2 linked regions of the Macaca fascicularis genome follow. The protein of the gene in region 1 purifies or fractionates together with the protein of each later gene. This does not show direct contact. Links are inferred from orthologs where the notes say so. Each region holds a gene or a part of one and is shown on either strand. Other genes may lie near its edges.

Region 1 (3,809 bases):
TCCACAAGACTTCCTTCTCACCACTGTCCTCAATAGTCACACCCTTCCTTCTGTGTCCTCGTGATGGCTGCCTCTGCCCTAGCATCCCCCTCCCTGTCCCCACCACAGGGTGTCCAGGTGCCCAGTGATGATGGCTGTCCTGTACCCTAATTCATCCCCCTCAACCCCACTTCTCTTCTCACAGCACAGCCCCCCAACGTGTCCCTGTCGCCTCCCCATCCGCCCACAACATCAGCAGCAGTGGTGGAGCCCCAGACCGAACTAATTTCCCCCGGGGTGTGTCCAGCCGAAGCACCTTCCATGCTGGGCAGCTCCGACAGGTGCGGGACCAGCAGAATTTGCCCTATGGTGTGACCCCAGCCTCTCCCTCTGGCCACAGCCAGGGCCGGCGGGGGGCCTCTGGGAGCATCTTCAGCAAGTTCACCTCCAAGTTTGTACGCAGGTAAGCAAGGAGCTTTGGGTGGCAGAGAGGCTTAGGCCAGGCCTTCCCACCTGACTGGGAGTGGGTTAGGGGTTGGGGGTTGGGATTTGGGACACTCTGTACTGGTATTGGGTCTTGGGGTTAGAAGAGGCTTGGGGAAGCACAAGAAATTGGGTCTTTGTCAACACCTTGTATGCCCAGGCCCACCCCTCTTAGGCCTCTCCCCAACTCCTTACAGGCACCCCTCATTCTCTGGCCCCAAGCAGATGGCCGATGCCGCCTCCTCTCTAGGAGAGTGTGAACTCAGATGCTAAAATAAAAGCCCCCCCTTCTCTCCTGGGTTCCCATGGAAACTTATATTTGGTGACGCAGCTGCAAAGTCATGAGGCATGAGCCAGGCTGGGGCCAGCAAGGAAAATTTTGTCCTGGTCTCTTGTCCCTTTGACTGCCTCTCCCCTTAGCTGGTTCTGTTTGTGGCTGCAGCCACAGCCGTGCCCTTCCGCCCGGGGGTTCTTACGGTGAAACCTATAAATGAAATCACTGGCGAGGGCCCACAGTGGCCTAACCAGAGGTTGTGCCAAAGCTTTCCTGTGTTGGACCCAGGGTGGGGATCTCTTCATGGGGTTTCTCACACCTGAGCCCCCAGCCACCACAGAGGGGCAGCTTGAAGTGCATCCAGCCAACTGGCTGGCCTCCTGGGATGCTCCGCGTCCCTGTCATGCCCATTCCTCTCCCTGCCTTGGAGTAGCAGCTCAGGAAGCAGCAGGGGCTTTGAGAGAGCAGGCTCGCCTGCCCTTCCTCTACGTTTCACTCCACTCTGCTGGAGGAGCCAAAGCCACTGCCCCATCTGAACCCCAAAATGCAGGTGTGAGGCCTGCAGAGAGGGTGGGCAGGTCTGAAAGCCTGGGACTCTAGTCTCGCTGAGCGGCTCTTCCGAAAATGGGATGACCCTTGAACCTGTGAAGCCACTCCCCACCTGCTTATCCACATACCGTCTTGTTGGTTTTTTTTTATTTCTTTTTTTATTTTGTCTTTTTTTTTGTTTGTTTTTTTAGAAATCTGTCTTTCAGGTTTGCCAGAAGGTAGGCGTTGAGCCCGCTGTGTGTGTGTGTGTGTGTGTGTGTGTCCGTGTCCTGTGTCCTGCCTCCATCACTAACTCCCCTTTTCTGGCTCTTACTCTCCTCCATCTGCTTAACCAAGTCTGTGTGGCCCTCCTCTCTCTGCCATCTTAAAGGGATGAAGACTGCCTCTGATTGGGCAACGGCACAGGGCCTGCCTTCAGTGCCCCCAGTACGAACAGGCAGGGCTAAGAGGCCACATTGGCCCACTCAGGGCAAATGGCTTTAAAAATGAGGGGCCTTCCTTGGGCCCACAGTTACGCCTGTCCTCAAGTAAGGGGAGACTGTCTCAGGGAAGCCTCCCTTTAAGATTGTCTCCTCTCACCCACCCCACCCCATCCCCACTCCCCCTCACTCCAGGTTTTGGTCACAGTGTTGGGATCCTTTCCTGGCCCTTTCCCCTGTCATGTGCATGCGCTGTGAGGAAGCTCCAGGGTTACAAGTGCATCTGGGATGGTATCTTGTCTGTGTCCTGGGCTTCCTGAACTTCAGAGCTGTGTGACCTCTTCCCCTTGGCCTATGGGATGGCAGGACTTTGGAGACACTACAGGGACCCTGGGGCCCCAAGGTTTCAGTCTAGATCCTCCAGACCTTAGGAGCTTTTGTCTCACAAATGGAGCACAGCACCCCCTCCTGGCAGCTCCTGCAGGACTAGCCCCACCCACCCGCACCCCTGCCCCAACACCCCTGCCACCAGCAGCATCTGGATAAATCAAGCCTCTTCTCCTCTGGGCTGTTTTCTCCAGATATGGCCTGTCCCTTCCAAAGTGCCGGGAGCTGGGACATTCCAGGGCAAGGGCCGTTCTACCCCAAGCCCTAGCAAAACAACAGATCTCTGCACCCTTACCCAGGGGTCTCCCTTCATGGGCCCCTTCCTGGCTGTTTCACCCCTGGCCTTAGGCTCATCCTCTCTGCAGGCCTCGGGGGCCAAATACCAAGCTGAAGACCAAGGGCCAGGTTAAGAGTGCTTGTTCCCCAGGGCTGTCTGCTCAGGCCCTGCACTGGAACTGGGATGCCTGGCAGGCACATTGGTGCCACAGCTGATGGAGGAACGTCCAGACAGGGTCTTCAGGCTTTCCCCATCCCCTCCTCCTCTCACCCAGCGCTTGACTGCCTGGCTGGCTGCTGCCTCAAGGGGCCCCAGCAGGGGGCTGCCCCACAGGGCATCTGGAGAGAGCGGGGCGGGTGCCTTCCTCGCACAGCCGGGCTCCCTGCTCGCAGTGCGCTTGTGTGCACCCCTGTGTTGGTTGTGTCTTCCTGTTTATTTCTATGTGCTGCTGCTCTTTCTCCTTCCTCTCACATCCTCCCTCTGCAATCCCCAATTTCCTAGTTCCAGACACCCATCTTCCAGCCAGGAGCTGGAGAAGCCGCTCAGCGGGGCCAGACCTCTTCCCCACCCACCCACCCAAGGTGTCTGCCCCGCCCCGCCCTCGTCCTCCCTGTGTATGAGCAGATGGCCTGGCAGGCCAGCAGGTAGGGGAGTTGGGAAAGGTCGGAGGAGGCGGCCTTTTCCACTCAGCAGCAGGCACCCATCCCCAGGTGCCTACCATGCAGACCCAGGCCTTGGCACTTTGAGCCTTCTGACAGAGACCCTTGCGTAGCCACAGCCCCTCCTCCTACAGAGACCCAAAGCATTGCAGCCCCTTTCCTCCAAAAGGACTGCAGTCCTGAGACCCTAGCGTGTGGCTCCAAAAACTTACTCACACCCGCAACCCCCAGAACAGCGCGTGAGCCCTGGCTGTGGGGGAGCAGCCTCGTGCCCGGCTGTGTGCTCGGTGTGCTCAGTGAAGTGCGTGCACAGCCACTCCCCCTCCTCCCCCAGAGCGGAGGCTCCTTCTCCCCGGCACAGATCTGGGAGTGTGGGGAGGGACAGGCCCCATGTGCTGGGCTCCCTGCTGGAAAGGAATGGTTGAGCCGCCAGTGTGAGGTGCTGCAGAGCCCTGTTGGCTTGCCAGGTGATGGGCAGAGGGCCCTGGGCTTGGGTCCTGCCCACCCACTGGTGGCACCTCCCCAGACCCACTCTCATCTGGGTCTGTGGCGGCGGAAGGAGCGAGAGATCCCAGCACTAAACTCTCCCTCGCTCTGTTTTTTGAGGAACCTGAATGAACCTGAAAGCAAAGACCGAGTGGAGACGCTCAGGTGAGAGGGCTGGAGCCAGCACTGGCCCTGCCCGGGCCACCGGGCTTGCCACAAGCCTCCTGCTCCTCTCTTCCTTCTGCCACTTGGCTCTTCCTCCCGTGGTTCTGCCCTGTCCCTACCCTCTGGGGCCT
Region 2 (3,809 bases), on another chromosome or scaffold:
GATTGTTCCCATCTTCCAAGAAAGACTTCTTGCTCTTGGGAAATGGCTGAGCATCAACGGAGAGGCCATCTATGCCTCCAAACCGTGGCGGGTGCAATGGGAAAAGAACACAACATCTGTATGGTGAGTCTCGTCTTCTGTTGTGTGTAAGAACAGGATGGTGCCCCATCTGGAACTGGTATCTCCTTGGGTCCACAATGTTACAAGCCAGGCTGGAAGTTGCCTTGAGAAAATCCAAAAGCTGTCATTTTCCCATAAAATTTGTGCCCCGGCCGGGCGCGGTGGCTCAAGCCTGTAATCCCAGCACTTTGGGAGGCCGAGACGGGTGGATCACGAGGTCAGGAGATCGAGACCATCCTGGCTAACACGGTGAAACCCCGTCTCTACTAAAAATACAAAAAAAAAAACTAGCCGGGCGAGGTGGCGGCCGCCTGTAGTCCCAGCTACTCGGGAGGCTGAGGCAGGAGAATGGCGTGAACCCGGGAGGCGGAGCTTGCAGTGAGCTGAGATCCGGCCACTGCACTTCAGCCTGGGCGACAGAGCGAGACTCCGTCTCAAAAAAAAAAAAAAAAAAAAAAAATTTGTGCCCCATTTGAGTTATGTCTTAGGCTACTGGGTTATCTTTGACCAGTGAGGGGAGAGAGTGGGTTTGGTGAAAAGGGAAGGAGCAACAAAGCATCTGTCAATTTATTGAGATTATTACCCTGCCCCCTAAAAATAGTAATAACGAATGCTTGGGTTGCACAGGGCCCCATTCTAAATTCTTTCCATTCATACTTGGACTTCGGGATCTAGTTATTTGATCTTGGGTCCCATTTTTTTCCACTGCAGAATGGAGTGACGATACTTTATAGTGTTGTTGTGAGGATTAAATGAGATGAGTGCCAGGCACAAACTAAGTGTTCGATTAAAGGGAACTGCTTGTATTATACCAGAGAGCTTAGGTCTCTGGATCTAATCCCTCCATTAATCCCTCTGTTTTGGCTGAGTTTCTGTTTAGTGGTTGTCTTAGTCTGTTTTCTGTTGCTATAACTGAATCCCACAGGCTGGATTTTTATTTTATTTTATTTTATTTTTAGACAGTCTCACTCTGTTGCCCAGATTGGAGTACAGTGGCACAATCTCAGCTCACTGCAACCTCTGCCTCCCGGGTTCAAGCACTTCTCCTGCCTCAGCCTCCGAAGCAGCTGGGATTATAGGCACCCACCACCATGCCCAACTAATTTTTGTATTTTTAGTAGAGACGGGGTTTCACCGCGTTGGCCAGGCTGGTCTCGAACTCCTGGCCTCACGTGATCCACCCGCCTCTGCCTCTCAAAGTGCTTGAATTACAGGCATGAGCCACTGCACCTGGCTTACACTGGATAATTTTTAAAGAATAGAGGTCTATTTAGCTCACAGTTCTGGAGGCTGGGAAGTTCAAGAGCATAGCACCAGCATCTGGTGAGGGCCTTCCTGCTACATTATGACATGGTTGGGGATAAGAGTGGGCATGTCCACTCAGGTCTCTCTTCCTCTTATAAAGCCATCAGTCCCATCGTGGGGCCCTACCCTGATCACCTTATCTGATCCTAATTACTTCCCAAAGGCCTCACCTCTAAATACTGTACTATCAACATATGAATTTGGAGATTAAGTTTCCAACACATGAGATTTGGGAGACACATTCAAACCATAGTAGTGATTTTCATCCTCTTCTCTAAAGATAGTGAAATTTCAGAACAGGCCAGGTGCGGTCTCAGAAAAAAAAAAAAAGAAAAAGAAAGAAATCTCTGAACAACAAATCTGTCTTCATTGCATATCTTGTCCTTGTTATAGTCTCTGCTATTTTCACATGGATTTGGAATAGAAAAGAGATTTGAATAATAAGGTAAATGGCCTCATTTATTTGAAGTAACTGGTGTAGGAGTTAATTTTTAAAGACAACTTGACCCAATTGGCAGGGAAAATGGAAGATATCACCAGATAGAGTTGTATAAACTGCCTCCTTCCTGCAGACCTTCATTGGTAGTGAGTTATTGGTGCTCCCTATTAGCAGTGACAGACTCAAGGACTGGGATTTGGTAGATAATTGAAAGGCGAATAAGTGGCCTTGTGCAGTGGTTCACACCTATAATCCCAGCACTTTCGAATGCCAAGGTGGGAGGATCACTTGAGCCTAGGAGTTTGAGACCAGCCTGGGCAACACAGCAAGACTCCATCACTAAAAAAGAGAAATTCGGCCAGGCACAGTGGCTCACGCTTGTAATCCCAACACTTTGGGAGGCCAAGGTGGGTGGATCACCTGAGGTCAGGAGTTCAAGACCAGCCTGGCCAACGTGGTGAAACCCCGTCTTTACTAAAAATACAAAAATTAGCTGGGCATGGTGGCAGGCACCTGTAATCCCAGTTACTCAGGAGGCTGAGGCAGGAGAATTGCTTGAACCTGAGAGGTGAAGGTTGCAATGAGCCAAGATTGTACCACCATGCTTCACCCTGGACAAGAGTGAGGCTCTGACTCAAAAAAAAATAAAAAAATAAGGAGCCAGGTGCAATGGCTCATACCTGTAATCCCAGCACTTTGGGAGGCCGATGCAGGTGGATCACTTGAGGCCAAGAGTTTAAGACCAGCCTGTTCAACATAGCAAAATGCCATCTCTACTAAAAATACAAAAGTTAGCCAGGCATGGTGGCGCACACCTGTAATCCAGTGACTCGGGAGGCTGAGGCACAAGAATTGCTTGAACCCAGGAGGCAGAGATTGCAGTGAGCCAAGATCATACCATTGCACTCCAGCCTGGGCAACAGAGTGAGACTTTGTCTCAAAAGAAAAAAAAATTAAAATTAACATTAAAAGGGAATGCATAAAGTTGTATATCAGGATAACAAGCCAGGTATCTTTGACAGTGTTGTTTCTGTTTTCCCAGGTATACCTCAAAGGGATCAGCTGTTTATGCCATTTTTCTGCATTGGCCAGAAAATGGAGTCTTAAACCTTGAATCTCCCATAACTACCTCAACTACGAAGGTAAGGAGGCTCAGTCAGTCCTAAGATGTAACTTTCTGTAAAGGAATTGGCAGATTCATCCTTTCTTCCTTCCCTGCCAGGTTTCTCCCATATTCATACCTCTTTTAGACTGGCTTTCCTGCCCTGGCCCAGCATGGCCGTTTCCCACCATAGTCAGCCTGTATTCTCTACTCATTAGTGCATTACCAGTTGGTTTCATTCCCTTTTGTTTTCTGCAGATAATGATGCTGGGAATTCAAGGAGATCTGAAGTGGTCCACAGATCCAGATAAAGGTCTCCTCATCTCTCTGCCCCAGTTGCCACCCTCTGCTGTTCCTGCAGAGTTTGCTTGGACTATAAAGCTGACGGGAGTGAAGTAATCATTTGAGTGCAAGAAGAAAGAGGCGCTGCCTGCTGTTTTGCTGCTTCAGTTTTCCTCTTATAATACCATCACTATAATCAACGAACTTGTCTTCTCCACCCAGAGATGGCTTTTCCAACACATTTTAATCAAAGGAACTGAGTACGTTACCCCGATGTCTTAATGGACCAAAGATCTGAGATCCATTGCGATTATATCTGTATCAGGTCAGCAGAAGAAGGGACTGAGCAGTTAAACTCTGAGTTCATCAATTCTAATATTTGAAATTATCTACAATGGAATCTTCCCTCTGTTCTCTGATAACCTACTTGCTTACTCAATACCTTTCAGCCAAGTCACCCTGTTGCCTATGGGAGGAGGTGGAAAGGATTTGGCAAGCTCAGCCACATGCTATTTAGTTAGCATCGGTTGTCACCAACACTATGCAAAGGGCAGGAGAGCC

The links.
Region 2: the proteins of MARK2 (region 1) and FUCA1 purify together in Homo sapiens (affinity purification with mass spectrometry; 3 studies listed by BioGRID and IntAct, counting the BioPlex papers as one, with this or other methods). This does not show direct contact. The link is inferred for Macaca fascicularis from reciprocal best matches to the Homo sapiens genes MARK2 and FUCA1.

Annotation. Positions count from the first base shown.
Region 1 is NC_088388.1:10,500,499-10,504,307, reverse strand, and holds part of MARK2 (serine/threonine-protein kinase MARK2), read left to right. Parts: intron 1-184; coding exon 185-442; intron 443-1,476; coding exon 1,477-1,503; intron 1,504-3,633; coding exon 3,634-3,678; intron 3,679-3,809. UniProt on the Homo sapiens protein: Serine/threonine-protein kinase. Involved in cell polarity and microtubule dynamics regulation. Phosphorylates CRTC2/TORC2, DCX, HDAC7, KIF13B, MAP2, MAP4 and RAB11FIP2. Phosphorylates the microtubule-associated protein MAPT/TAU.
Region 2 is NC_088375.1:211,261,238-211,265,046, forward strand, and holds part of FUCA1 (tissue alpha-L-fucosidase), read left to right. Parts: coding exon 1-123; intron 124-2,906; coding exon 2,907-3,006; intron 3,007-3,224; coding exon 3,225-3,365; 3' UTR 3,366-3,809. UniProt on the Homo sapiens protein: Alpha-L-fucosidase is responsible for hydrolyzing the alpha-1,6-linked fucose joined to the reducing-end N-acetylglucosamine of the carbohydrate moieties of glycoproteins.